Astyanax mexicanus: one gene and its partner. The protein of the gene in region 2 purifies or fractionates together with the protein of the main gene of each other region. This does not show direct contact. Links are inferred from orthologs where the notes say so. Each region holds a gene or a part of one and is shown on either strand. Other genes may lie near its edges. The genes, in order: atl3 and esyt1a.

Region 1 (15,964 bases), on a different chromosome or scaffold from region 2:
AGATGTGTGTGTGAGTGTGTGTGTGTGTGGGTGAGAGAGGCCTTCTCTGGTTGACTAGCTAGCCTGCTCAATCATTTACAATATAGCTTGTTGTTCGTTAGCAGTCAGTCACGCATCACAAATTTAGCCTTTAGACTAAGTTTGCTAAATCTGCAGAATCCTATTTTTTATAATTTGTTCCTTATTTCCTTTGACATTTTCGATTAACTAAAATACGTATGAGTTAAAGATACAAGCCTATCAATATAGCCTAGTTTATGTACTTTGTAGGTCAGAGTACTTTTTAAGTTACTGTATGGAGCAGTTTTCCAGACAGGGATTATGCCTAGTCTCGGACTACACAGCATTCTAAAAACCTGTAGGAAAAAGAGATTTTCTTCAGGTCCATCTCACAAAATTAGAATATCATTGAAAAGTTTCTTTATTTCAGTAATTCAGTTCGAAATGTGAAACTTATATATTTTATAGATGTTTTACACACAGAGTAATCTAAGGGATTATTTCTTTTATTGTTGGTGATTATGGCTTAAAGCCATCCGAAAATTACAATATTATTTAAGACCAATTGTCAAAACTTTTGGCAGTGTGGGCAGTGTGCCAAATCCTGCTGGAAAATGAAATCTGCATCTCTATAAAAGTTGTCAGTAGCAGAGGGAAGCATGAAGTGCTGTAAGATTTTGTGGGAAAACAAAACTGCACTGACTTTAGACTTGATAATAAAACACAGTGGATCAACACCAGCAGATGACATGTCTCTCCAAACCATCACTGATTGTGGAAACTTCACACTAGACCTCAAGCAGCTTTGACTGTGTGCCTCTCCACCCCAAATGAAACGCAAAAAATGTTCTGGTGGTCAGTGAAGGTTATATCAAGTCCACAGTACATCTATACTGTATAATATATGAGTTTCACATTATGAACTGAATTACTGAAATAAAGTGGCTTTTCAATGATATTCAGTTTTTTTATATATGCACCTGTATTATTCTTATATAATTAATATATAGACTCATATAGACTTTGTTATTTTTTTTCTCAACAGGCCAGCAGCTGAATGTGTGTACCTGTGCCCCAGAGTTTGGAGAGAGATGGAGAACAATACCCACACTCTACCATCGCTTTCTCCTCTCCATTCCCCAACAAACCCTTCCAAAGCTCTTTCACTGTCACCATCTCTTCCTCAGCCCTCTGCTACTGTCCCTGCCTCACTGCCTCTCTCCCCCCTGTCGCCCATCCTTAACTCTTCTGGAGGGCATAACCAGCACTGCCTCAGTCCTTCAGGTCCGACTGACCAGGATGACCTGACCTGCCTCAACTGGCTGCACCAGAGGAACCTACTGCCCCTGCAGCCAATTCCCAAAATCCCCACACTGCCTCAGTTAGAGTCACTGGACCCACTCCCCATCCAGAATCGACCTCCTTCCCCAGCCAAGCCTCCGTTTTCCTTCAGCAGTCTCATCTTCATGGCGATTGAAGACTCTCCAGATAAAAGGCTTCCAGTGAAAGGTATCTACGAGTGGATCGTCAACAACTTTCCCTACTACAGAACAGCCCCCAGCGGCTGGAGAAACTCCGTCCGACACAACCTGTCCCTCAGTAAGAGCTTTCGGAGGATACACCGGGACAAGAGTCAAGTGCGTCTATCTATCCGTCAGATTTGGTTCACATAAGTTGATTCAAGATGTGTTAATTCACTATTATAATATAAAATCTGTTTTTTTTTTTTTAAAATCATAGTCCGTTGGAAAGGGGTCACTATGGTGCGTTTGTCCAGAATTTCGTCCTGCTCTTTTGGAGGTGCGTCAATAATGTGATCTTCTGCCTATATTTATTTTTTTAGTGTTTTGTATTCAAAAAATGGTTTAAATGCCTGAATTTATGAACTATGACATATGAAGTACCTCACCTGTGTATGAACTCACTTTAACTTTTCACAAAACATTTGTTAATTGTCATTTTTCTGTTATTTAATGGTTTAAAATGTCATGTAGTGCGACATATAATATAATAGAAGTAACTGTAATATTTTTTTTTTAAATGATCTAATCATTGTGGCTAAAATATTAATCGCTGATACTCTAAAGTTAAATGGCATTTGTAAAAGTTTCTATCAGTTTTCTGTAATTTACAGAAATGAATAAATAATGTTTGGTAAGTCAAGTTAAGAAGACTTAACTCTCTCTCATTATTGGAAAAATATGAAATCATTATGTACAGGTAGATTATTTATTTGTTTCAAACACATTATGCTTTTGAGAACTTAAAAAAAGCACATTAGTTAAAGAATATTCAGTTTAAGATAAATCATGGTTGCACCACATGACATTTTACATATAGTTGAATGAACCCCCCTAAAATTTAAGTATAAAACATAGACTGTATATAAAGATGGACGCCGTGTCGCCGTTCCCATTCATTCAATGAAAATGAAGCCAAAATCTTCCGCCATTTTGGCGATTCAGAGACCAGAGTCTGCGCAATAGAGACCAGAGGAGGGAGAAAGACTGTGGAGAGACCGCCTACTCATTTAAATAACCCCGCCCCTGAGGGCTGCCTCGCGGTCACAGACTGCAGAGCGGGGCGGAGCGGAGCTGACGGTCTGTTATTGGTCCCGCCCATAACCAGCCCTTTTACCATAACCACACCTTTTTTGAATAGAGCCGAATAAAGTTTTAAAAACCGAATTCTGTGGGGATATAAAAATTTGACAATATAAGCAGAGGTTACACTAGCTGTTGCATTTAAATAATGGAGGTAGAATTACAGTATATTAGAAAAAAACGTGATTGAAAGTTGTCTGTTTTGCCATTGAAACCTATGGGGATGGGTGGAGTTACACAGCTTTCTGCAGCCGAACAGCAGGGGGCGCCCGACCTGTGGTGGCTTCACTTTTAAGAGACGATGCTCTGTCCAGCTATATACAGTCTATGGTATAAAAGGATGTGTGCATGATATTGTAAATGTTTGAACAATTGCAAAATATGCTCTTATTTTTTTATTTTAAAACTGGCCTGAAGATTTAGTTGAAAACCTTTTGTCATTTGTCATTTATTCAGGTACTTAAGAAAACCTATTATTGTCACAGTAGCAGCAGCAATTTACTGAACAGCCGCACATTGTAAGTATTTCTGATGGTTATTTTTAAAAACATATCTTTATGATAAAATTATTAACTATGTTCTGTGGTCAAACTTATAATATTTTTTTATTTTTGGACCAGGTTGGAGGCAGCTGAGTATGGACAGACTGTTATTATGGACACTACAGAAATTTCAGGTTGGGCACTCATGACTTTCACTTTGAAATTTTGAAAGTAGTAATTTAATGAGTTACCGTATAAAAATAAAAAGTGTAAAATATTATGCAAATTAAAATATCTCCTTTTACACCATAACTACCCATGAGCTTAGTAAAGCAGTTGTTTCTCCTTATCTCATGCTCGGCCTCCCCTTTACCACTTTTTGCTAAGCAGGCGTTTGTGTTCTGTTGTCCTGACAACAACCTGGCATTGCCGTGGCAACCTATAGCCAGGACGACATGATGGCTGGCCTCTTTATTTCTGTGCTTTTTAGTGCGGAGCTTATGTAAAGTGATTTTCAGGCCTGTGCCCGTGTTTGCATTCCTCTTTCTTACAGCCTCTGCCCTATAGAAACAGCTGGCTGTAGTGAGACAGATGCTTTCATGAAGTGCTCGTTAATCTTCATTCAGTCTTGATGTAAACTAGAGATGCAGCGAAACCGAACAAAGTGACACATTTGGCCAAACGTTGAATATCTGACAAAAAACACTTTTATTTATTATTTTTTCTACATGTTTCACCTAAATATAGTTTATCTTTATTTTCCTTTTGTAATGAAATAACAGTTACAAAACTTCAATTTAAAAATATTTATTGCATTTCTTTTTATCCCAAACAGACACATATTTCAAATTTACAGTGCTATTTTAGTCATATGTTTACCTCAGCTTTGCCATTTTAATCATGAATTTCAGTGTACTGATTTGGAAAAACCCTTGGCCTATGCATGTATATATCTGCCAATGCTGATAAACGTATTTCTAAATTACAGAAAGATACACATGTAAGAAATGCGCAAATGTAACATTTATTTACCTTGCATTTCAGCTTTTAACAAACTGTATGCAAAAAATAAAATGAAAGGTTTCCCCTCAGAAATTTCTTTTCACATTTGTTGGTTTAAAATGTATTCAGCTAAATGGTCCTAACATAGATTGCTCACAGCTCTTTTAATAAATTAACAGGTTAAATAAAACAATATATCTATTAAAACTAATAAAAATGCTTAAATCCATTCATTTTAAAGTAGAGAGTAGTGAGATATTTGCTAATATTGGTTGCAAAATGTTTTTGGTTGCCAAATTTTCATTGCATTTCTGATTTAAGCACAGATCAGAAGGAAGAGTTAAAATTATGGGAAGATTTAAATGCAAGCATTGCTGTGAGCACTGCTGATAGAAATTATAGCTTCAGTTAGCTTCAGTTGTGTAGTATTGTTGCTCCTGTATAAATCTGTATAAATTCTGCTCTGCTCCATTACACAGACCTGGATTCGAATAACCCACCTCTGTCCTCCGACCCATCCTGCTCTTTGATCCCTGATCACGAGGAGCTGGTTGCCATGGAGTCGGTGGAACTGGAAGAAGAAGCCTGTGAAGAGCCGGAGAAGGACCCGCTCGCAGACAGCGGCTACATCGAGTTCCACTATTACCAGTGTCAGCAGTACCAGTACCTGGTTCTACCAGGAGATACGGAACTGGACCTGGAAACTGTTGAGATCCTGCAGCTTGATGCTGAGGCTCAGGAGGCTGCAGGATCACTGCTGGACTTGGCAGGAGGAAATCACTGATCACTGATCAGCCACTGTCAGCTAAGTATAAACATCTTAATGGAGAGATGAATAGGATCAACTGTCATGCCTTTTACATCATTTCCTTTGCTTTTGTTACTGACTGTTTTTCTAAAGAAACTGCCTGAATTTTATGTTATTATAGTGTTATATATGCGCAGCGTTTGCAGCTGTTACTGAACAATAATGGTTGGAGTGATATAACAGGTAACTTCAGGAGAAAATGGATTTGGCCATACAGCTTTTAGGTAGTGTGTATAGCATGCACACATGTATAAGGTACAAGAAATAAAAGAAAGACTAACATAAATTGCTTTGGGATGACTGAGTTTTGCACAATAAAATGATTAAAGAACAAAAATAAGGCCGAGTGGTCCAGCGGTCTAAAGTGCTATGAGCAGGAGGTTGCAGGTTCGAACCCCAGCTCATGCAGCTTTGCCTTCAAACTTCCGGCGTTTAGAAGAAAGCACAATTGGCCCTGCTTCCTCTGGATGGGTAGATGGCGCTCTCTCCCCACATCACTCCTATGGTGATGTCTGCAGCACAGGGCATCTGTGAGCTGATGTACCGGAACCGAGTCTCTGCACTGTCCTCCAAGCGCGCTGTGATGCTGCTCGGCAATGCTGCATCAGCAGCAGCTCGAAAAGAATAGGTGGCTGACTTCACATGTTACGGAGGAAGCATGTGTTAGTCTTAGCCCTCCTGGTGTGTTGGGGCATTACTAGTGATAGGGGGAGTCCTAATGAGTGGGTTGGGTAATTGGCTGTGTAAATTGGGGAGAAAATGGGAAAAATTAGAAATAAAATTATAGTAAAGAACAAAAATAAGCAACATTAATTAGTTGGTTTTAAACTGTTCCAGTACATACTGTCCACATAAGAAAAATAAACTGCAGAACAGACGGTTTTCAATTTAATCTATTTTTTGGTTTCACAAATATCCGCTCAGTACCAGTTAAAAGTTTGGACACATCTTTTCTCATTCAGTGTGCCTTTTTTCTTTTATTGATTTTGTACATTGTTAATTTAATATTGAAGACTATATTAAAGCTATACAGGAACACATGCAGAACTATTCTGTAACAAAAAGTGTTAAACAAACCAGAATATAGAGTTTTATACTTTAGATTCTTCTAAGAAGCACATTTATCTTTGAAGCCAGATCTGCACACTCTTGGTATTTTAATCTCAGTGTCTCTTCATGAGGGAGAGTCACCTGGAATAATTTTCTCAGCGTCTTAAAGGAAGGAGTTCCTTGAGGTGCTGAACAATAGTTGCTTCTTTTCCTTCACACTGTAAAGCTCCAGCTCATCCCAAATCAAATCAAATCACCATCTCAGTTCATCAGATTTAGATCAGGGGATTAATGTGGAGGATTAACACTTTTTTACTATGTAATTCCATATGTGTTTCTTTAATTGTTTTCATGAATTTAATATTAATCTACAAAGTAGATTAGAGGTAAAGAAAAATAAAGAAAAAATAAATGCAAAAGTGTGTCCAAACTTTTGACTGATATTGTATATCTATTCATTTAGCCCACGGCACTACAGACCCCCTTTCCCCTTCATACTAGACTTATAAGTAGTGTTTCAGCTTGTACTTGTTTTTTGAACGAGGCACTGAACAAAACAGCCAATAAGAACAATAATAAACAGTCAGTTACGAATAGCACACTTAAAGGTACATTAGCAGAAAACACCTGTTTTATTATAAATGATAAAACAAGGTTTGAAAATGCTATTCAAAACATAATACAAATAATAGATTAGACCTATTTTTTTCATTAAAAAAACACCAAAAATAAACTATAAAAGTAAAATATATAACAAGTGCCCTTTAACAACAACAGTATCTTTATATCTTTGTTTATTTAATTGTGTAGACAGCACTGTTTATTGTTAGAGAATAGACTTAGTGCACTTCCATTAATAGAGATAGATCATTAATTTAAACAGATTGTACTGAATTCTTGATTCATGAACTCTGGATGGTATAGATTATAATATGTTGTATTTGAAATAAACTGCCAGCAGCTCCACATCTTCTTTAGGATGTGCATAGAAAATGTAATGTCTAATCTTTGTTTGATTATTAACAAGGTGCAGTTGAACTGTTTTAACATTCACTTCTGTTCATTTAGTTAAACTGTTTAGAAGTGTGTTGAGCAGTTTGAATGAAAATGCCCCCTCTTTGTGTTTATATGTAACGCACTTGGCAATAAACTTCTGAAGTGATGACCACCTTTGTCTCAGCTTTTATTATTTTAGACCCATATTTGAAATGAAACTGTTTGTTTTTGATAGCTATGCTACATGTGATCTGTATGTCAAGCTGTTTTTGGTTTAAAGTGACACCAGTCATACAAGGCCTTACTCTGATTTTACTAGTAAATCTCTTATTTTAAATATAAGCTATGGATTATTACTAGCAATAATATCAGATTTATTTTTGTAATTTTGACAGGTTATGTGTTACTATAGATTAACTTGATCTTTCACTTTTTTGTCTATTACATTTTTATCAGTGAACAATCAGTAACAGATATATATATAATTACGTTTTTACTTTTTTATCATTTCAGTTTTACTGGCAAATGTAATTATAGGTTTACTATTAAAATAAAAAAAAATACTATTTTTACTATTTTTATACAGAAGAAAATATATCCATATATCCCAGAATATCCCAGCTAACATGCTCATATAGGGTTTACATGGTTGGAACATGGGCCAGGTGGGTTCCAGGTGGGCATGGGTTCTGAGTGGGTTTGTACATGTATTGTTTGGGGAGCTCATTTAGGCTTCCTAAATGGGCCCTGTGGCTACAATTCATCTGAAAGGTTTCATTTGGCTATAATTCTAACTAAACTAAACTATTATTCTTTTTTAAATACAGTAGGTCACTCTGAGTTGCATATGCATGCTGCACAGGAACAGGAAATGGGGGGTATTTATACAGAGCATCAAAGGTGAGAACAATTAGAGTAATTAGAAGGATGGAGAGTAAGTGAGAGGCAGTGGCACTTGACTGGGAGAGTCCGGAGTAGAGAGCACAGGGGAATTCTGGGATGTGTAGTTCTGAGTCAATGAAATAAAGTCCATGGCTGTCAGGCTGGCCTGACACCAATAGACAAAAAAAAACTATACAGGGCCCACGTGGACATGTTATCTGATATGTGTAGTCAGACTGGGTTTATTCATCTTAATATCTGTAGATCTGATGTTACTACTAAACTACATTTTAGAGCTGTTACATAGCCTGCCTTACTTTTGTTATGTAAGGTTTGGATGGAGCTGCTTGGACATGAAGTTCTCTACACTCTACTGTTCTTGATCTAATCTAATCTAAATGTTTCCCCTGTGCACTATGCTCCTCAGCATCCGCTGACCCCGCTCTGTTATTTTACACTGACAGAGCACAGAGTGGCTGTCGTTCCCATTCTCTTCCACTGTGTTATAATATCACTGACAGTTGACTGTGGAATATTTTGTAATGAGGAAATTTCACAACTGGGCTTGTTGCACAGGTGCTGCATCCTATCACAATATCACAATGGGGTTCACTGAGCTCCTGAGAGTGACCCATTGTAGAAGCAGTCTCCATGTGCCCATGGAGGTGTTGGGAATACCTGAATACAAGCATTTGGATAGTGAGCGAATACTTTTGGCAATATAGTGCATCTAAAATGAGACTTAAAAAAAAATTAAGAAAAACTGCATTACTTTTTATAGATAAAAACTGAGTTTTATGCTAAAACATCTTTCCATGAATCTGTATTCGATCTAGATTTGAAGAACTCTGTGTCCCAGTTTATTCTGGCAAAACTGCTCATTTGCTCCATGTGTGACTCACTGTGGTATGTTTAGTAGACACTCCCTAAGGCAGCAAGAGTCTGGCAAAAGTTTTTACAAGTAGACTGCTTTTACTTCTGGCGGTCTGAACACTCACCCTTACTCACTCACTCACTCTCACCTCACTCTCTCTAAAAGTAATCTACTAATCTACTTGTTTTGACAGCCCCCCCAAAAAACATAACACATAAAGTAAAAAAATCTGTGTTTGGTAGATTATTTCTTTGTTGTAACAATGCTTCAAAATCTTACTGTTGGAAAGCCTGTTAATTTCTCTTTTAAATTATGCCACGTTTGTAAGGAACATGCATTTGTGGAATATGCAGCAGCAGATGAGGCCTTCAATTTGGAGATACTGGTACTGGCATCACGCCAAATAATATGTTAACTTGGTTTTGCAGACCACCAGCTTAGGCACTATCCAGATCTGTCAATAGCATACAAATTCTTGGAGCAGACACCTATTGACCACTGTAGCAGAGCCCATGCTCACAGGTGCTGCGCCTGGGGGTACCAAAAGCTCCCTGCCAAAATTGTTGGCAAAGACGATTTGGCATATTTTTTCTATGGGCGCAACCCACATACTCAGCTCTGCTGCTCATCCCACAAATGCTCGTTCCTTAAAAATATGGGGCGGAACCACAGGGGCATTGACCTCAGCTTAAGTTCCTCTGTCCTGTCACTCATCTGTCCCTTGCCTGAGAGAGATGATCAGATTATGTGGTTGCAATTTCATGCTGTGTGTGTCTGAGAGTATTTTGTCTTTGTACAATAACAATGTCAAATGGTGAAGGAGATTTTTATAGGTTAAAATATCAAATTTGCAATCAAAATTGCAGTTTATATACATATAGAAGTGAAAAAAATCAAGCAGAAGCAAATGGGAGATTTCAGAAGCAAAAGATTTTCAGAAAAGAGCAGAAAATAACAAAAATGAAAGCCGAGACAGATAACTGTTTTCAGATAATTGCAAAAAATAATTAATTATTTTAAAAATTTAGATTTTTAAAAAATTTTGATTGCAGATTTTTTTGTGTGTGTAAAAAAATGGGGAAAAACACAACCACATACTATGTTTTATAATACACGTGTGTGTGAGTGTGTGTGTGTGTGTGTCTCCCTGCTGGTGGAAAGTGTAGCTTGCTAGGATTTCCAGTCAGTCACGTGGATGCTTTGGGACCTGTAGTTCCTAAAGCGTGGAAGTGTGACTGTGGGAATGAGGCGATCACATTCAAATAAACTACAACTCCCATAATGCCCTTCGCTTTGGAAACATTCGCAGCTCTGATTCGCGGTTGGAAAAAAAGTTCCTTTTCTTTTTATTATTTCCAGACCTGGGTTGAGCCTCTGCTCCGGAACAGCAGAGAGCAGCTGTGCCAGCTTCAGTACTCTCAGATAACTACATTAAAATAGGGTAAGTTAAACAAACTTTAGCTGTTTTTAACGTTTCAGTCTTCGACCGATGTAACAGGTAGGTTAGCTAGTTAGCTAACCTAATTAATTGTATGGTTAAAAAAGCTAACTAGCTTGGCTAGCTAGTTTTTAGCTTGCTGGGTTATGAAGTGCTGGCTGACAGGCGTTGTTAGCTAACGTTCGTAGTTAAAAGTTAAATATTTATGGTGCTGTTGACTGCTGGAGCTTAAAACACTTAAAACACTAATTCAGGAACAGTTGGAGCTATGTGTAAATATGTTGAGTTGTTAAGATAGTTAGTTAAGTTAATTAACCTAATCTAGTTAACTAGGTTAGCTAGGCTGCAGTGTTTTCTCAATACACGCATTAAATTCGTTTATTTGATCTAGTTAGATAAGATAGCTAACCAAGCTAAGTAAACATAAATAGGGTTCCTAAATTTACAGTACATAAGGAATAGTTAGCTTTTAGCTGATTTAGCAAACGTGACTAGCTTAGCTAGTAGAGCTGGGCGATATGGCTCTAAAATAATATCACGATATTTCAGGGTATTTTTGCATAACGCTATACTTGGCGATATAGGGAAACTAAAATAATTAATTAATTTCAGGAATATAGTATAATAGTATACCAGTATAATCATAATGTGGCAAAATAAATAATATAGCATAAAATAATATAATGCAGCAAATAATATTGCAGAATATTAAGTGCATGCATATAAACTGCAAACTAAAACAATTATACAATAAATAAACCTAAAGCTTTACAGTAAATAATAGACTACTTTTAAGACAGAACAGCCCTATTATCACGATATGGATTTTTAATATCATGATATTTCTGTGTCACGATATATTGTATACGATATAATATTGCCCACCCCTATTAGCTAGCTATCTTAATGAAGCTTTATGTGAGAGCAATGTTTATATAGCTAGTTAAGATAGCTTTTTAGCTAAGTTAGATAACTTACCCATTAACTGCGCTAGTTTTAAGCTATAGCTAGCTTACATTTTTTAGCTACGGTAGTTAACTAACTAATGTGACCAGCTGCACCTTTCTAGCTTTTTATCTGTGGAGGATTTTCATGTACTTTTTTGGACGTTAACTCCTGTGCAAGTATGCAAACTTGACACGTATCTGGTGGCCATGGTTTGGGGTTTGTAGAGCCACGCCAATTTCTCTCTCGACCTCTGAGAATCTGACAGGAGGGAAAAAGAATGTGCTGGATTGGGTGTAACTTCAGGTGACGCACCAAAGCACTAGTATCTTTTGCTGGCTATAATTATCACCTCTTCTCTTCTGTAACTTTGCTTTCTAGTGTGACCACATTTTTAGATGTAAGCTAGCTACAGCACCAGTCAAAGGTTTGGACACACCTCTTTTCATTTAGTGTTTTTTTTTTCTTTATTTCTTAATTGAATGTATTTTCCAAATTGTAGTTTAATATCAAAGATACCAGACAATTAACTGACTGTTACTGTGCATTGGTAGGTTATGTAAAATCCTGTACCTTCAGCTGGAACCTTTTAGCATGGAAGGGGGTGTAGGGGGGTGTACTCTATTTCGTTTGGGGGTTTGTGTATGTTTTGGGTTGGGGAGTTATGTTGTATTTATTGTATTTTCTTTTCTCTGGTTTTTTATGTTTAAGTTTGTTTGGGATTATTTTAATGGAAAAATTAAACACCCCAGACTAGTGTCTTTGTATGTTATTGGTCTGGTGGATCAAGGTTTAGAAAGAGAGGGGGCTTATGGGCTGTATCAGGGAAACATATGGAACTATGTATTACTCCAAAAAAGTGTTTGTCCTCCACAATCCCCTCACCTAAATTTGGGATGAGCTAGAGCATAAAGGAAAAGCACCAACTATTGTTCAGCACCTACAGAAACTCATTTAAGAAGCTGAGAAAACTTTATCCATCTTTGTAACTTATGAAGTTTCTAAGTGACATATAGCTTTTGAACCTCCTGAGAGCATCAGTACAGGACAGTGTTTAAGGGCATGCAAAGGTGTATAAAGGTGTATGAAGGGGTATTAAGGAGTATGAAGGTGTTTGAAGGTATATGAAGGTGTGTTCATTCATCTTTATTTCTTTACTATTTCTTTACTATTGTAGTTGTGTTGGGTAAGTGTGGCAGACATTTTTTTTTTCTTTTTTAATTCAGGCCTGTTCCATGTGTTCCTGTATAGCTTTAATGTCTTCAGTACTACACATATTATGTAAAACAAACCATAAAAGGAAATTTTGACTTGTACTGTATGATAACAGCTAATAATAATTTTACAGTGTATGGCTGTGTGAAGTGCTGCATTAACAGCTGCAGATCTTGTAAAGTTTGTTTGTACCAGCTTTGCACATCTATACTGGCTGAAAATGTTGCCCATTCTTCTTTGCAAAAAGTCAAGCTAAGTAAGATTGAAGGTGAATAGCCATTTTGGTTCCATTGTAGATCTGGCTGTATGTTTCATAAAAGCCAGATTTTCGGAGGTCATTACTAGTAGTTACTGTGAGCGGTTTCTCCCACCTGAGCTGTGGATCTCTGCAGCTCCTCCAGAGTGACCATGGGCCTCTTGGCTGCTTCTCTAATTAATGCTCTCTAGTTTAGGTCCTTCATTGAATAGTGCTCTGCGAGATATGCGTAGCTTGGATATTTTTATAACCTAATCCTGCTTTTTTACTGTTTTCAACAACTTCCACCCCTGGCCTACTTGGTGTGTTCCTTGGTTTTCACAATGCTGTTTGATCACTATTGTTCTCACAGAACAGCTTTAGTTATACTGAAAATAATTTATCATATTTATATTTAATAATAATTAGTTACAAATTTATTCATATTCTTATATTTTTATTGTAAATTAATAATCTAAATTACCTTTTTTAATATAATATGTATTGTCTTAGTTAGTGCTCCCAAACTCGTGCTGTACATTAGTATTTTTATTGTTATTGCAGTGAAAATTAAAAAATATAAAAAAAAAAAAAATACATTTTAACTGGGTGTTTTAACTACTACGTTTATGTACCCTTCAGGAAGATACACATCTGATTGATGATAACGTAAGAATGTTACCATGATTGTAGCTTAGTATCTTTAAACATTTTACTAAGAAATATGAGCATTAGGGGACAAGCAATTTTAGATGTATGCCCCTGAACCACTTCATATTGCTTGATATAATAAAAATTAATAGATTAATATTTTGGATGCCCCCCTTGCTGTAAAGATACTTGTGACTTTATAGTTAGAGATTCCATCGGGCTCTCATCAGTGAAGAATTTGAGGCATGTTCTCGCATGTGGTTTTATGTACCACACCTCACTCTACTATCATCACCATTTTTAAGCATGCAACAAAAGGTAGGTGGGTGTTTACAGGTCTGTGGTTGAATTATGAATGAAGCCAGACGTTCAGGCTTCGTTCCCAGCTGATAACGTGCATCTCACAAATGGCACATCTGTAAATGTGTTAAAGTAAGTGACTGTGTTTTTAAGAGGGAATTATTGCATGGCAGTGTTGATTGTACTCATTTGCCCACGGATGAGGGTGGTCCAAATGGCAGATACAAAGACACTCATTCACTGGAGTGTAGAATCTGTGAGTGGAGCACAGCATGCTTTTAACCTCTCAGCTGCTACATCACACGTTATCCATGAAACCAACAGACCTAACATTGTCTCAAATGGTTCCTTCCAGAAAAAAATTGTGACATCTTGTGATGTACTTAATTCAGTTAGATTTGTTGAGCTTAATTCCTTGAAAATAAATCAATTAGAAAAACAGACTATGCAATTTTGTGTATTTAACTCCTTACTCAAATCACTCTATTTGTTATTGACAGAAAGAGTGCTGCAGAAGAAGACCAGGATGGGTAGCGAACCTGGACCGGTCCAAATAGTGACCGTCAACAAGGAGGAGCACTCCTTTGACCTGGACACGGAAGCGCTTGAACGGATTCTGTTGGTGCCCAAGATCCGAGACATGAATGTAGTGGTGCTTTCTGTTGCTGGTGCCTTTCGAAAGGGAAAGAGCTTTCTCCTGGACTTCATGCTTCGGTACATGTACCGGAAGGTTAGTTCACTTACAACAGAACAATCCATTCAACAAAGGTTGGAAAACAAACTTAAAATTAGGTTTGCGCAAAACAAGTTTACACTTTTCTTCTTACTCCACATTCAATCTGTCGGCACAGACACTGGTTTTGGTTTCTAGAAATAAGGTTAATATGTTTTGGGTCATTGTCCTGCTGGAAGGTGCACCTCCACCCCAGTCTTGAGTCTTTTGCAGCCTCTAACAGATTTTCTTCCAAGATAGCCCTGTATTTAGCTCCTTTGAGCTTTGCTATCCTTGCTGAAGAGAAGCATACCCACATCATGATTCTGCCACCACCATGTTTCACAGTGGGAGTGGTCTATTGAGTGTGATGTGTGCTTTTATTTTCTTGCCACACATGGTTTTGTCAGAGCATTTAGGCCAGAAAATTCAATTTTGGTCTCATAATGTTTTAATCTCAAAGTAATCTTAAATTTGTTTTTTTTACCCATAAAAACTGTCTATTTGAACTATGTTTAAAGATTTGAACACAGGCATAATCATTTATTTTTCCGGTGTGACAGTCTAGTGACGACTGGCTTGGACGAGATGATGAGCCCCTGACAGGATTCTCTTGGAGAGGTGGTTCAGAGCCTGAGACCACTGGCATCCAGCTCTGGAGTGAAGTCTTCGTTGTGAGGAAAAGCAATGGAAAACAGGTGCAGTAAATGTTGAAATATTGTTTATTTGAATATTATGACCACCTCCTTGTTTTAACATTGACTGTCAATTTGATCAGCTCCACTGGCCCTATAGGAGCACTATGTACTTCTGTAATCCACAGCTGTGCTGCTGATGTTTTTAAAAACCTCCATGTCACTGCTGGACAAAAATATACTGTCAACATTGTCAAAATATACTGTCGTCCTTTTTTTCTAATAGTGGGGAATAGTGAGTGGATACAGTATAAAACTCCGGCAGCATGGCTGGCACTGCTCCATATATATATATATATATATATATATATATATATATTAGTCCACTAGTTACATTTTACATACATTTATTAATATATATATATATATATATTAATAATGTATGTATGTAAAATGTAACTAGTGGATGGATATAGATATAAATAGATATCGTTTATATAGTTAATAAATGAATATACTTTGTTTAAAGTGGTACTTGTATTTGAAGTGTATATGCTGCAGTAGTTTATATATTGTGTATAGTGACTTAAGGTACCTCTTTTCGAATGCATTTGGCTTGGATTTTGTAATAATACCCAATTATCTGCATGTGTTTAGAGCATCAGCGGACGTAATTATGACTCAGTACATTGTGGCTAGTTGTAGATTAATTTTTCTAGACTCATGGTCACTGAGATTAAGCAATCTGGATTTGTGTAAGGTCTGACTTCAGAGTTGGGGCAATCAGTAGGGCAATAGTTCTCTGTCTAGATAGCGCAATACATGGTTTTGCCCCATTTGGCCCACAGAGTAACATTTACAAAATCTAACTGGGCTGTGACTGGGTTGTGAATAATTTGGGTATTAACAGTTTATTACATATTTTGTTCTCAAGGTGGCAGTGTTGCTTATGGACACACAAGGAGCATTTGATAATCAGTCCACTGTGAAAGATTGTGCTACAATCTTTGCCCTTAGCACCATGACCAGCTCAATACAGGTATAATCACAATGCTTACATTTTTCATCTCAAACCTAACAAAGTGTTGTTATTTATTTTTGTGGATGTAATTATTAATTTGATTGTAAATGTTTAT
Region 2 (16,125 bases):
CTGCCCCCCTACTGCCAGCTATACTGACCGACAGAGAGAGACGTCCTGCGAACAACCCAAAGAACAGAATCGTCAAAGCCAGTCCTGACGTGCCCCACTGAGAAGCCTTGTGGCCTAGCCTTCTGTGTCTGTTAGCTGTTTTCCGACAGCCATAGGGGTTCACACGTTACCGGTGTTCCCCAACTACATGCAGTCTTGTTGTCCTCAAGGTAGGCTTCTCTAGAGGAGATTACAGACAAGGAGGTGCTAGATACTAACTGACCGCTTGTGTTTACAGCAGGTGCGTACCGGAGGGGGGGGGGGGGGGGGTTCTCCCTCTTACCTAACAAACTGTCATTGTAAAAGCAATCGCAGCAAATAAAAGCGAAATGGCGGCACTGTTGAAGTGTCATTACTGCAGTGTGCCAATTCTTATTTACTTAGAATTTACTGAGAGTCTTCTTTGATTTGCTTTTGTAATGACTGACTGGTCTATTGGGGAGAACTGTTCTAGTTATTTAGATGTAAAAGTTATTTAGTTATGTAAAAGTGCTCAAACTTTGGTATCATCTCCATCCACCTCACAGCATCATAGAAATTTAGAAAAACGGACTGCAATGGAAGCGTTGGCCTCATAGCTGGGTATTGATGTAGACTGGTGTCGCTACTGTCAAACACAATTTATTGTTCATATTAGATTTCCCAATCATTAGAAACACACTTTTGTGAGTCTGACCTTAACAGCCAAATGATCCTGCCATTTTTTATGATTGTTAAATGAATAAATGAAATTGGCCAATACAGCAACTCTTGTCTGGTTTCTGACTTTTTCAATCACAAGTGTATATTTTGCCTTTTGCATACAGGTGTAATGAAACAAGACATTGGGTTCACAAGCAGAAGATGATTTTAACTATATATTATTATTTATTTACTTTTTTTTTTTTTACTAAACCTGATTTCCTTAAGTGTAAGGGAAAAGCAGCAACTATTGTTCAGCACCTCCAGAAACTCATCCCTTCAAGACTCTGCGAAATAAATAAATGAAAGTTGTGAAATTGTCCATTTAAACAGCAATACTGTTTAAATACTAATCAGATGTCAGTGTAGTTCAGCAACTCCTACATTCAAATGCAACAATAAACCCATGAGAGATAATGCAACACATCTCAAAATAGTGACCTAAACATACATTTGAACAGTGTAATATTTTTAATCTGACCTTTTAAGGACCGAACAAGGTTCAAGAAGATTTCTGGGGTAAATGGTGTAAAACATGCATTCTCAAAAACCCCTATTTAAATGGAAAGTGAATGTTGAAGAACTTTCTCTCCACGATTGTGCCTGTCCAATTAGATTTGCATTGCAAATGTCAAGTTGAGTAACAAGTTAGACTGGAGTGATGTTCGTTGTAAAGCTGTGTGTAAGTCAGTCATAATGTCAAAGTCAAAAAGTCAAAGTCAAAGTGGTTTTTATTGTCATTTCAGCTATATACAGAGTACACAGTGAAACGAAACAACGTTCCTCCAAGGACCATGGTGCACATAAACACAGTGTAGACAGAACAATAGTGCAACAGTACAAAAGTGCAGACAGACAATACAACACCATACAGACAAAGAATAATAAATAACAAGACAGTGTGCAAATTTTGCAGTGTGCAAAAAAGACCAGGTGAGGTAGTAATTACTCTATTACACAGTGTGCAATAGAGTCCAGTGAGGTAGTAGGGTTTTTAGTGCTTTCCATTTTCTGGGGTAAGTGGGGTAAGAGTGTGTGTGCATGTACAGAAAAACCATCAGTTCAGTCTCTGCAGTTAAGGAGTCTGATGGCTTGGGGGTAGAAGCTGTTGCAGAATCTGGTCGTGCTGGACCGGATGCTGCGGTACCTTCTTCCCGAAGGCAGGAGGGAGAATAGTTCGTGTGAGGGATGAGTGGGGTCATGTACAGTTCAGGCCGAACGTTTTCTCTTTTTCAATGTGTTTTCTTTATTTTCATGACTATTTACATTGTAGATTCTCACTGAAGCATCAAAACTATGAATGAACACGTGGAGTTTTATGTACTTAACAAACATAGGTGAAATAACCAAAAATGTAAATATATATATTCTAGTTTCTTTAAAATAGCCCCCCTTTGCTCTGATTACTGCTTTGCACACTCTTGGCATCATTCTCTCAATGAGCTTCAAGAGGTGGCCACCTGAAATGAAAAGTTTTCCAACAGCCTTGAAGGAAGGAGTTCCCAGAGGTGTTTACTTGTTGGCTCTTTGTCTTCTTCACTCTGTGCTCCAGCTCACCCCAAACCTCAAATCTGGATTGGGTTCAGGTCCGGTGACTGTGGAGGTTCAGCTCATTTTTTTTGTTAAGTACATAAAACTCTACATGTGTTCATGCATAGTTGTGATGCCTTCAGTGAGAATCTACAATGTAAATATTAATGAAAATAAAGAAAACGCATTGAATGAGGTGTGTCCAAACTTTTGGCCTGTACTGTATCTTTATACTGTTGGAATTTTCTGACTCCTTCAGATATCTAAAAAGGGAACACTGTGTGTATAAACAGTGTCTTTTAAAGGGTAACTAAACCCCCTGATTTTAGTTGACTACACCAGCAAGTTGCTCAAATTTGAAAACTGCTAAAAAATGGGAGGGTTAGTTTGGGAGGGGCATTGGGTGATGTATGGGTTTAGGGGCAGGCCGAAGGTAGAGTTGATTGGCCTCAGCTGCAGCAGCAGCAATGTTCCTCAGATAGCGGTGAGACGCAGATGATTGGACGTCACCAGGGGGATGGTGTTATTGATTAACTTATTTGCATATTGTGAGGGTCTGCGTACCAAAGATGAACCTAAGAGGGTGCATTTTTATATAACAAAAATTGAGTCAGGCTGGTATGTTTCATTACTTTAAAGTAACACATTTTAGCTATTAATAGAAAAAAATATGGTTTAGGGTTTAGTGGCTTTTTAATGTAATAAATGTTGATTGGATCAGATTTTCCATTAGAGTTTATTTACAAAATATAAATATTAAATATTAAAAGTTCTATTTTTTTCCCGTATCTCAGATTTTGAAAAACAAAAAATGGGGAAAAAAAAAAAAACTAATATCTTTTTAACTATACACACTGTCAAGTCTCCCGTTTTGGCTGGGAAACTACCATATTTTACCCCTCTTTTCTGCCGTCCTTCCCGTTTAAGTATTTTCACATACATTTCCTGTATTATACTATTAATAATAAAAAAACAATAACATAAACATTTCTGTGCCTCTTCAAACTAAAATGTCACTAACCTCTGACAGCAGAAACAACCCTGAAACAAAAAATATCAGAGAAATGGATGGGTGCAAAGAAAGATGATATACTATATACTATATATTATACCATGATGATACATACTCATACATACTATATACAAATGTATAATACCATTGATCACAACAAATGTACATCAAAAAGAAAATTATATATATATATAATTATATATATATATATATATATAACTACATACTATATAATGATTCACACTGATCAGACGTGAACACGTTGGGTGTCCAATGGCATATTTTTTGCCTGCCACTGCATGCTGCTGTTCTACTACGTTACCCATAATCCCGCTCGGTGGGCGGGCGAGTGCGTGACGCATCAGGAGCGTATAAAAGCTCGCGGCTGCCGTTATGAGGCCCTCTTGAAGTCGTTGCTTCGCTTGTGGAGGTAAGAGGCAGCTCTTTGCTCTTCACTGGCTAACCGGTCTATCTGAACAATCCAGTTTAATCTCGCTTGTTTAAGAGCCATCCGCTAAAGTTCTCCTCTTTTTCTTTCTTACAGGAACGCTTCCAACATGAGAGCGAAGGTAAGTCAGTGATTTATCACCGTATTTTGTATATTTGTGCAGATTTGGGTTTCACTAGGGGCAATGCGGCTAGCCTAGCTCACAGCACTGACCAGAAAAGTGACCAGCTAATGCTGAAATATGTGCTTTTAAAGCGCCTTTTCTGCTGTTTATTAATGTCAAGTCGTCTTTTAAATGCTTGAAGTCATTTCATTAACATAACGTTAGTTTGTGTGGAAACTAGGCATTTCTTTTAATGGTGCTTAGCATTGAAGCTAGCAGTTAGCTTGGCGAACATAAAAATGGCGAAGTAAGTTAAATGTTTTTGCTCCCTTCAGAGAAATGAGCCCTAAAGAGCTGAATAATTGGCTGGTACTTGGCCTTATCTCCCGCCTAAACCAGTTTAAAGCTTTAATTCGTGTTTTGTTGTTTAATTCGGATCGTAATCTTTACTTCTGCAGTGTCAGAAGGGGATAAGATCGTGCTGTTTCCCCTGTTAGCCACGCTTGTTGGTTGATTAGCATTAGCTTTAGCGTTAGCATGAAGGCGTGCGTGCTGGTGAATGGTGCTGCAGGCCTACTGCACCTTTAGATCAGCGTTAATATTTAACCACAAATTATGATTTTCCTTTATTACTGACTATTTATTATTTGGGATTAATTGGGCTTTGTTTGATTGTCTTTCTGTTTCATTGTTAAACATTTTTCAGATTTTCTTAATATTAACTCATGCTACACAATCAGAATTTCAGGAAATTGTTTTTTTTTTAGAACCTTTACAGACCTGATTTATTTTTCTGTAAATGGAATATATCAATGCTGTTTTGTCTAATGCACGCATTAGGCACCATCTTAATATACAAATCTAGGTTGTATAAAAATCATATTACCAAATTTGTATTCTAATACATGATGGTGAATTAAAATTTATAAAAATGAGCTAATTTTTATTTTCTAGTCCAGTGGGTGAGGTTAAGCCACTTTCTTTGGCTTGTTTGATTGTTTGATTTATTCTGATGGACACCAGGTTTTAATTATTGTCGTAAAAAACAAAACATTTGAAAACAAAGCACATGATGTCTATTGTAATTGATGCAAGGTCTGAAAGTGTTAATTTATTAATTTGTGCCTCTTAACAAATCTGGCTGTATAATCCAGCCTACTTTTGCAAGATACAGTAATGGAGAAATTAATATATTGAGTAAAGATTAAAGGAAAAAAGCCATAAAATTGGACAACTTGATTAACATATTCATGATCCTTTTTTACTGTACTAAATGTACAAACTGGAGTTAATTGGCCTAAAGTCAGATAATTGAACTAAATCGTTGCACTGACCTTTCTGTTCCACTTTAAATCATGCAGCAGTTGGACTTTGAGACCTGCACATGCTCTGTGACTGTAGTTAATGTAACAAGCTGACTGTAGTTTGAGATTTGTTTCCCTTTTAATTTACTTTAGTTTTTGGACAATGTTTTTCCAGAGTAGATGGTGGTGCAGGAAATCGCTAAATTGTCCAGTACTCCATTCCACTTTTAGCTCATTTTAACTGACCAAGCTCTTCTACATGTATATAATGAGATTGCTTGAGCAGTATTGATTGGTGGTTGGTGCTAAATTCTGCTGCAGAGTCTCTATTCAGGAGCATAGCTAAAGACCCATGTTAAAGGGAATACTCCACATCTTACTGCACCATAACATTGCCAAAAGTGTAGTTTAGCAAGGTAAACTAGCTGGCTTGAAGATTTAGGCCTTGTTTCATTGCACAACTTGTTTGTGTTCCATTGCTCACCACATGCATAAAATGTAAAGTGGAGGGAGGGCATAGAAAATAGAACATGCATAGTATTCAAATGTTTGCATACAAGAGAACTGTTTGCCTGGCCTTATTGAGTCCTTTATAATACTTTAAAAACAGTTGCTTCATTTTGATGGCAATTTGACTTGACTGTATAGCATGCTGTACATCCACATATGTCATAACATGTGTGTCTTTTCCTTTCAGTGGAGAAAGAAGCGTATGCGCAGGTATGTAGTTATATTTTAAAGGGACTTTTTTTTTTTAAATGTGTTTTTGGTGATTAGTGTTTGCAGAAAGGCTAATGGATTCTCTTTTATAGGCTGAAGCGTAAAAGGAGAAAGATGAGGCAGAGGTCTAAGTAAACTGCACCCTGTCTGCTGCAGCTGGATTCCATCCTGATCATCTCGGATTTTCCCTCAGCAAGAGTCTTGCAAAGAGCGACTGAAGAGGTTCCCTTCATCTACCCTGAATGAAGCCAGACACTTCTGACAGTGGGATCTTCATCACCTGGCTGCTCAGTTGCCTCTTGGGTTTTGATGGCCTTGCGAACTCTCTTTGGACATTCCAGACAACTCCAGCTCAGCATGTTTTTGTTAATACCTCCAATAAAATCTGTTTTAAAAACGTATTCATGTGTGGCACTGAATGAATTGGAAACTACAGTTTATTTGAGCAGAGATCCATCAAGAACACTAAGCTTCATGAGCTCTCTTGAGGAAGCATTGGGTGGGTGGAGGCCAAGGTCATTTAGTTAAGTGCTTTGAGAGGTCTGTTCTAGAATTATGTTGGTAATAGATGGGTACTGGATTGTGGAGCGAAAAGGGAGGTCTCAACCAGTAAAATAACTACCGGTAACCCTGAGGTTGTACAGGGCATGCTCCTAGATTTCATATCAACTGTTCAGTTTAAGGGATTACTACATTTGTAAGGAAAACACACCAGTTATTTCTGCAAATTCTGTTTAACAATACATTAAAAAACTCACTGAACACACTTCCTGATACAGAGGAGTGTTAACCTTCACTTTAAAGTACTTTTTGTTCATTTTATAGTCTTTGGGGTGGCTTTTTTATGGCTGCAGCGATGCGTGGTTGAATATTTCATACACTTTTTATTGCATTTAGATACTGGGAATTTGATCATTGAACATGTCCAATAATTGGTGCCATCCCTGTTATGTTTGGGTCTTAACCTCATCCCTTAAAAAAAAGCTTTTGACATCAATAAAATCAACTTTAATAAAGACACTGCTCCATCTTTAACAATTAATAATAGTCTCGCTTAATATTTCTATTGTCTTTATTTAGTTTAATCTTAAGTTGTCATTGCAACATATTGGGGTAATAAAAAACATAACAAAATTTCAGGGTTCCAACCACATTGTGAAAGAGCTACCTCCCTGCAATGATTTAACAGGGTGGGATGTCAGATTTTTGCTATGAAGATCCACATTTGTCAGCTTGCCATACCAGGATGGGCATAATGCACATCAGGAACTTAAAAGTAAAAATATAAAGTGATTTATGTTTAATTTGATTTGGTTCATGTAAAGTCTAAAATTAAAATAAGTCTGTACAGTATTGTGAAAAATGACCCAGGTGTTAGGGGAAGGTCTGTGACTGGAGCATGGAAACTTTGGGCTTCACACCTCATCACACTGATTATACTGTGTATCCAGGGCATCATAATGTGCTGTTAGAGAGACTGGAAGAAACAGCAGCAGCTGCTGGTTTTTAATGACATGTTTTTCTCTGCAAATGTGTAAATGCATACACAGTTTGTCTACTCCATGCAGAGAAATATTTCTTGTAGAATAGGATACGCTGAAGCAGGTAAATATGAACCAGTTAGTACTGTCTCTAACGTGGGGTATGAAGTAAAGAAAAATCAATTTATTGAGGTGTTTATTATTGTAGCAAAATAATTATATTTTAGTACTTACACTAATAATAATCTTCTGGATATGAATTTTCTTTATCTGATGGATTTTAATTAGTTAAATCTGACAATATGTAACTCCTTATCATGATTGGTTGGTCGGTTTTAGCTCAATTGACCAATCAATGTTCTCAAAAAATATATATCTCAAAAACATATTAAAGTCCATTTCCATAGATATACATTTCTTTAACAGCTTTTATTATTGTATAAGATTATAATTGTTCTGTATGTAGTGTTTAGCTATAATAAATTAAAATTTTGAAAGAAAGTAAATTTACATTCTATAAAGTCTATGCAGGGGTGTCAGAAGCATGTTTAATGTGGGGAGGTCCTCCCCATAACATTATTTATGTATTAGATGCCATTTCCAGTATTCTGGTGTTTTTTGACAAGTTAAATTCTAAATTCACCTACAAAAGTGACTTTTACATTACAATGACTTTTAGAGTCTGACACAGCTCCCTTGTCAGCAGCTCTAGCTCTGTGCAGCTCACTGGGCTGTGGGTTAACAACTCCTGATATAATCACCTGTTGACATCACCTTTTTTTTTTTAATTATTAAAATATTAAATCAAGTTCAAAGTAAATGTAAGATACACTGCCTTTTATTGCCATTTTACATTCAGTCCCAGCTGAGTATTACTGTATTAATAAAGAATAAATACATACAAACATTATAAATGAATTCTATTCAAATGGCACATGACTATTTATGTCAAGGCCAGTGGGAAAAAACACAGAGACAGAGCAGGTGGTCTGGATGGATTAGGCCTGGAGCCAGGCCTGCTTTTCCTGTGAAATGTTTAATACATCTATACTGTAACGTGGTTGCTTTTCACATAATTCAACACACTGCAGCACTATTAATGAACGTGGAATAGGTGCTTGACTAATTTGTCTGTTCTGTATTCCTTCCTTTTATAAACAGATCAGTGCCCTGGAGGCAGAGAGGCGTTCCATACACACACACTGTTTATCAGCCTCCCTTAAAAACACTGACAGCTCGGCTCATCACATGCTCTTATTATGTAAACACCTCAGGCATCACACACACTGGAATTAAGGCATATGACCCAGTATGCAAGGAAAAGAGGTGACTGTGTTCATGCTGTGCTTCGTGTGTTCGGTGCTTACTCATTTTTTCCCCTCTCTTTCTCTTTCTCTCTGCCTCTTTCTCTTTTTCTCTCTTTCTTTTTTTTTCTCTCTACAGTGAACGGATGTTGCAGTCGCACGCAAAGGTGGTGTGCCCACATGCGGCACTAAAGCTTTATAAATGTACTGCAAGAGAAAGTGTACCTTAAATTAAACAAGAAATGTATATCTATTTTTTCTAGTAGCATGCACTACTGCTATTTTTACTGTTACAAAGTAGGTGTTTCTAATAAAGTGGCTAAAACACTTTTTGTTTTCTGGTGCAGAAATGACAGGGTATGCATTAATGCACCAATAGAAAAGAATGAAATTTAAAAATTGTGTGAAAATGGCCCCAACAAAAAAAATCTGCAATTGCACTTAAACATTATGATTTTCTTAGATTTTACCCAATTAAAAACCTTTGGAATATAATCAAGAGGAAGACGGATGGTCACAAGCCATCAAACTAAGCTGAACTGCACCATGAGTGGCATAAAGTTATCCAAAAGCAGTGTGTAAGATTGGTGGAGGAAAACCTGCCAAGATGAATGAAAACTGTGATTAAAAAACATAGTTATTCCTTTAAATATTGGTTTCTGAACTCATAAATCTTTGAATATATATGAATATAAACTTATTTTCTTTGCATGAAAACAGTAAAACAGTGAAAGAAAAGCAGCAACTATGCAACTATTGTTCAGAACCTCCAGGAACCCCTTCAAGATGCTGAGAAAATGCCAAGAGTGTGCAGATCTGTCCTCATTCTCAATGCTACATGTGGTATTTAGAAGAATCTAAAATATAAACACATTTTGGTTTAACACTTCATTATTGCTTATGTCTTCCTTCAAAGTTTTGGTATCTTCAATATTAATCAACAATGTAGAAATAAAGGAATACATGGAAAAAAAAAACGTTTTAATGTATTATTAGAGGTGGTGTACAGCAGTGTGTGGTTTTGGAGTGTAGTTTTCTGTTTTGACTTGATGCTTCTTCACACCCTCTTCTGTTTTTGGCATGTGTTCACACCAACTGACTCATCATTAAATACATTTTAGCTGAAGTAGAAGAGTTTTTATTTAAAGAATGTTTGTTTTTACAGCTAGATAAGCTGAAGAAGACGTTATAACGCGTTGTTCGCTTGTTATTCCCTCAGATATGCTAGCTTGCCAGCTAACTGCAGTATTTGGGCTCTACATTTTTGAGGGTTGAGCTTGTTGGTGAGGGCAGGAACCCACCCCCACACACCAGCCGCCCAGATAAAACCCCAGCCCAGCCCCGGCAGCAGAAGCAGCAGCTCTGCTATGTTTGTTTAAGAGACAGTTAGCTTCTGTTTTAATCCTAAAAAATACTTTAATTTGATAACGCCCAGCCTTCAATAGCCTCAGCCAGCCCGGTCGTGTTTATGAGCCGCGGACGTCGCAGCTGAGCTCCGGAGGCGGCGGGGGGAGAGTAGCGGTCTGGCGGGGCAGAGACGTGGCCATGGCCGCTGGAGAGGATGCGGGTTCGGCTGTAAGCGCGGAGACGGCGGGGCAGCACGCCGTGTCGGTGCTGCTGGCCTTCGGAAAGTGCCTGGGCGCGCTGCTGCCCGTCTACCTGGCCGGATACTTCGGGCTGAGCCTGAGCTTCGTGGTGATCGGCCTCATGGTGTATCTGGGATGGAGGCAGCACCGCGACGGTAAGCAGGCGAGGCTGAACACCGCCATGTACGCTCAGGAGAACGAGCGGGACTTCACCACCGGCCGCCTCTACAGGAGCCGGAGAGACCTTCCCGCCTGGGTAAGAGAACCTCCGCCGGGGCCGCTATAGCTAGCTTTACCCAGCTGTGGGGGTCTGTACAGATGTGGTGCAGATGTTTACAGCTCGGGAAACATATGTACAACATTCTTAATAACAGTTGTTTAGGATAAAATAACAAATAGTGTGGAAGAATCAGGTACAGCACTTTTTAAAAACATATATGGACACAAAACACGAGTTATAGAGACCCTCTAACGTACGAAGCGTAAAAAAGTAACGTTAATTCTCACACGTTGTTATAACGAGTAACTATCTCGTTTTTATGAGTCATTGCAACGTTAAAACGACATAGTATGTCGTAATTGTGAGAATGTATATTCATGTTATGAGTTATGTTGTCAAAACAACATAGTATTTCGTAATTATTAAAAAAGTATCTCGTTTGAAAGTTATTTTGTCGTTTGAACGTCATACTATGTCGTAATTATCAAATAAACATCTCGTAATTATGAAAAAAGTATCTCGTAATTATGAAAAAGTGTCTTGTTTTTATGAGTTATTATTTTGTTGAAACATCATACTATGTCATAATTATGAAATAAAAAACTCGTAATTATGAAAAAAGTATCTCATTTTTATGAGTTATTATGTTGTTGAAACGACACAGTATGTCATAATTACAAATAATAACAAAAAAGGCTCCTGTTTACAATGGCTACCACTATTAAGAAAATATGAGTCATTAAGTTTCACCACAGGGCACTGTTTCATAATAAACCATCTTAATCAAAAACTTAGAAGACAGAACATCTGACTACATAATAGCAATTCAGTTCAGAAGGTTGTGTGTTCAAATGTACATATTTCTGCAGTTATCTAATTGTTTAAGTGGTTACGTAAACAGTATACTGATATACTGATGCTTTAGATTGCTTTAAGGCAATATAATCAGCTCTATAATCAGATTTCCTAGCACATGTATACACCTATTCTGATTTCTTGAATATAACTGGATAAGACAGCTGCTAATTCAAGCTTACACCTCTTATTCACATTCACCAAGTTTGTGTAACGTGCATCTGTGAGATTACTGGCTCATGGCAAAGGAGATATTCGACTATTTCCTGACTCAATTGTTTTCCACTTACTTATGTAGTAGTGATGAATTACCCAGCTATGGTTAGCGAACCTTACTGAAGCTCAGCGATTACCTGTTTACAAGAAAAATAGCCTACTTGCCTGTTTTCATGGCTGCAGCACATTGATTGCATGCTGTAGTGTTCTATACCTGACAACCTGGTGTGTGGAAATGGGCCTTGGGGAAAAGGGAGTTGGATAGGTCCAGAGGCCACAAGCCACACAGATTACTTTGATGTACCACAAAGTTCTAATTAGAAAATACTGTCTTTAGCTCTGCTGACAAGAGGTGACAGTGTAGATTTTCTTTAATGTCTGATGGTATATCCTTATCATGCTATGAGTTACTATAGAAAATATAATCCTTAATTAAGCATTAATTATCCATACATATAGTGTATTATTATAGTTATGCTGTTGTTATTATGGCCATTAAGGAACTAGCTTATCACTGTCCTATACTATCATGTGTACATTGGGCAATATAAAGCAATGACAATAAAGGAAAGCCGCTGCATCATACAGGATCTCATTATTTTGTGTTGATCATTTTCTATTCCATCCTCATCTCCTCCCCCATCCCTCATTACTGCTGCCACATTCCACAGCCCCGCCAGCGCTGGCTATATTTGGACATTTAAAGATCAGATCTTCAGGATCTGAGTCAGCAGACCACGAGATGCAGAGAAAGAACTGGGCAAAACATTACATTACATTACATTACATTTGGCAGACGCTTTTGTCCAAAGCGACTTACAATAGTCAAGTACAATGTAAAATAAGTTTAACGGTAAAACATCTTTGGATAGGGATAAAAGGAGGTCAAAGGGGAATAATAGGATAGAGGAGTGAAGGAGGGGAAGAAGGAAATGAGGTTAGTAGTAGTTAGTGTGTTAGAGGTGTTAAGAGAGTAAGTGCTCTTTGAAGAGCTCTGTCTTCAGGAGTTTATTAAAGATAGTGAGGGACACTCCTGATCTGGTAGTAGAAGGTAGTTAGTTAGAGGTGTTAGGAGAGTAAGTGCTCTTTGAAGAGCTCAGTCTTCAGGAGTTTATTAAAGATAGTGAGAGATTCTCCTGATCTGGTAGTAGAAGGTAGTTAGTTAGAGGTGTTAGGAGAGTAAGTGCTCTTTGAAGAGCTCAGTCTTCAGGAGTTTATTAAATATAGTGAGAGACGCTCCTGATCTGGTAGTAGAAGGTAGTTAGTTAGAGGTGTTAGGAGAGTAAGTGCTCTTTGAAGAGCTCTGTCTTCAGGAGTTTATTAAAGATAGTGAGAGATTCTCCTGATCTGGTAGTAGAAGGTAGTTAGTTAGAGGTGTTAGGAGAGTAAGTGCTCTTTGAAGAGCTCTGTCTTCAGGAGTTTCTTAAAGATAGCGAGAGATTCTCCTGATCTGGTAGTAGAAGGTAGTTTGTTCCACCATTGGGGAACTCTGTATGAGAACAGTCTGGATTGCTTTGTGTGAATGTTTGGCAAAGCGAGGCGACGTTCATTGGAGGAGCGCAGCGGCCGGGAGGTAGCGTAAGCCTTCAGGAGCGAGTACAGGTAGCGAACTATGGCAAGAATCTGTTATAAAGACGTTTTAAAGACGATTTCTGAAGCAGGGTGGAGGTGCAGAGGAGGACAGTAAGAATAGCTCATCTGTATAATAGGGTTTTGGTTACTAAGCACTGGTATTCGGTCAGCTTTACCCACATCCTCTTTCACTTCTGTACGGTGAAAAGCTGTGCCTTCTTATTCTGTGGCTTTGTAATAGTGTTCAGCTTCCGTACATTCATGAGTACATGGACCCTGTGTGAAGTTTAGTTTCAGTTGGTCAGTGAAGTTTTTAGCACTAAGGCTGTGTGCAGCAGCATTAGCATTAGCCGCTAACCACATCTAAGCTTGCTGTAAATGAACGGAAGCACTTTACGAACCCAAAGAAACAGTGTTTGGAAGAGAAATCTGTGTAGATTAACATCCAGCACTCACTTGACTTTAAAAGAAAATGTTTTTTCTTTAAAGAATTACAGTTTTATTTACTTAGGCACTTTCTCCAGCTTCCCTATTGGAAGGGAAGCAATTTTATTTACACCTAAATACACATTATTTAAAGCTTATCTTTAAAGAGAAAAAGTGTGGTTAATCACGATTAATCACAGAATTATAGTAATTCTGTGATTAATCTGCTTAATTTCGTAAGTGACCAACACTGGTACTTCCTATTTAAACTACTGGCAATGTAAATTTTTTTCTAATATCATGCAGCCATAACGTAAAATTCTGATACCTCTCTAAATTGATTAATTCATGATCGTGAACGGATATACAACTGATATGTGCTGGGAAACCTATTAAAAAACTCCCTAATAACCATCCAAGACCTGGTAGACCACCAAAACTAACCTCACCTAACGGCTCTTACAGATCTGTCTCTGACAGAGTAGCGCCAGGAAGTTAAGCTCCTCTCTCACTTCATATCTGAACAAAACCACAGGTGTGTGCTTAATTCTGTGGCTCTGACAGGAAGTGGAGATTAAAAACCCTTAAAAACCCGTAATAAACAAAAAAACAAGAACATTTTATTAGAATCAAACGGCTGAGCGTCAGTCCGCTTTTAGAGCCCCAACGTGGATACTGCTTGTGTACCAAATCGTGTTGACATTACATGTTTGAAATCACAGCATTATTTATTTATTTTACCTCATTACTAGCCTTAAATTGTGCATGTTCCAACATTTCTTGAATGTGTAGCAGGCAAAACATGAAATATATTTGGTTTATACTGTCTGCAGTTAAATAAAAAAGAAAATACATTTAAAAAAAATGTTTTTTATACTGTTTCACCTTTTTTTTTATTTGTTGTTGTAAAACCGAAATGAATGGGTCGCTGTTGAACATAATAAATATTGTTGGATTGTAAATATATGTTTTTTTGTGTTGTACTGTAACAAAAATTATGAATATGTCTATAAACATTATACTTTATATACAGGGGCAATAAATGTATGTGAACCCTTTGGAGGTTTTGGAATGGTTTTACAAAGATGTGTCATAAAATCAGTCTTAAAAGGTATTAATGATTCATTCATGTCTTTATTGAGAACAACCATAAAAAAACAGAACAGTGTTGAATGAGTGTGTTTACTAATGATCCTAAACCTGCAAGATCAGATTTATTTGTGTTATTATATTATGCAGATTATATTTTTCAATACTTTTTTGACACATTTATGCAGAAAATCATGAATTTCCCCTACTTAAATCCATATAATTCACATTCTCTTTCTTGCCACTGTACACTTGTGTTGACCAAACTTGATTTTGTGATTTTCTCTGCAGGTTAATTTCCCAGATGTGGAGAAAGTTGAATGGCTAAATAAGGTATGATATCCTACCATTATCCTACTTTTAGAGAAAAGGAAGTAGTGCATATTATAGTATGTTTTAAGTAGTAAATTGTTGGCTTTTGGCCATTGTTTCCATAAAAAATGAACACTTATAAGAACTCTTTGCACATCAGAAAGACATTAAGACTCTGAGTTGTTTATTAGCAGCTGCAGGACAGACCAGGACTGAGTAAAAAAACGCTCCAGTGCTTTGAAGGAATGCAGCAAAGAGGTAGGACACAAATAAGAGATTGTGGCGAGGACATCAGGCGAAAAGAGCTGGTATTACTCAAGCTCATGCTTTCAAGTCTGTCTGAGTCTTTTTTCTGTCTGTGTCACATGATCTTTTTTCATGGACCCCACCCTGCCGCAGTGCTTTTTATGCTCTTGGATTGAACTAGTGTATTTTTCGCACTTAAAATTCTTTAATTTTTCCAAAAACTATCAGTGCACCTTATAATCCAGTGCACCTTATGTATGAATCCTACCAGTCAGGTATTAAAGAGCAGCAAAGCAAAGTTTTAGTTTAATTCTCCAGCGCTCCTAACCTCCAGCTAGCACTGCTGGAGCAGCATTAGCCGCTAACCGCTAACTGTGCTAGCTCTTTCGCTGTTCAGAGGTGAGTATTATCAACCTGTAGTCTGTGCGTTTACCGTGTAGCGACGAATCGCTAGCTAATATTGCCCTGGCTTACCGGAGCACTCAGAGTTCCTCAGTGTAGGACTGTCAGGCTGTTAGCCATTAATGCTAATGCTAATGCTAATGCTCCAGCCTTAGTGCTGGAGAAATGTGTGAATCTAAGCTTACTGTAAATAAACATAAGCATTTTACCTCACCCAGATAAACAGTTTTCAGTTAGCTGTTTTTTATGCATCTTGGCGTCATGTTCTCCTCCAGCAGTCTTACACACTGCTTTTGGATAACTTTATGCTGCTTTACTCCTGGTGCAAAAATTTAGCAGTTCAGCTTGGTTTATGGTTGTGATCATATATCTTCCTCTTGATTATATTCCAGAGGTTTTAAATGTGGTAAAATCAAAGAAACTCATCATTTTTAAGTGGCCTACAAAGCTGTAGATGATACAAATAGTTTTGCATTGTCTTCTATTGAAATTTAAGGTGGTATTTTCCTTTTTCTATATAATATTTTTTCTTACTGTGTTTGTGTTGCTGTGCAGATCCTGCAGCAGGCCTGGCCATTT

Evidence for each region.
Region 1: the proteins of esyt1a (region 2) and atl3 purify together in Homo sapiens (affinity purification with mass spectrometry; 3 studies listed by BioGRID and IntAct, with this or other methods). This does not show direct contact. The link is inferred for Astyanax mexicanus from reciprocal best matches to the Homo sapiens genes ESYT1 and ATL3.

Annotation. Positions count from the first base shown.
Region 1 is NC_064417.1:45,867,084-45,883,047, forward strand, and holds the start of atl3 (atlastin-3), read left to right. Parts: upstream 1-9,992; 5' UTR 9,993-10,138; intron 10,139-13,981; 5' UTR 13,982-14,007; coding exon 14,008-14,211; intron 14,212-14,756; coding exon 14,757-14,891; intron 14,892-15,762; coding exon 15,763-15,867; intron 15,868-15,964. Other genes in the region: si:ch211-145o7.3 (forkhead box protein N2), read left to right, coding at 1,092-1,637, 1,741-1,800, 3,060-3,121, 3,224-3,279, 4,567-4,871. UniProt on the Homo sapiens protein: Atlastin-3 (ATL3) is a membrane-anchored GTPase that mediates the GTP-dependent fusion of endoplasmic reticulum (ER) membranes, maintaining the continuous ER network. It facilitates the formation of three-way junctions where ER tubules intersect.
Region 2 is NC_064420.1:2,969,867-2,985,991, reverse strand, and holds the start of esyt1a (extended synaptotagmin-1), read left to right. Parts: upstream 1-9,931; 5' UTR 9,932-10,167; coding exon 10,168-10,464; intron 10,465-14,877; coding exon 14,878-14,919; intron 14,920-16,101; coding exon 16,102-16,125. UniProt on the Homo sapiens protein: Binds calcium (via the C2 domains) and translocates to sites of contact between the endoplasmic reticulum and the cell membrane in response to increased cytosolic calcium levels.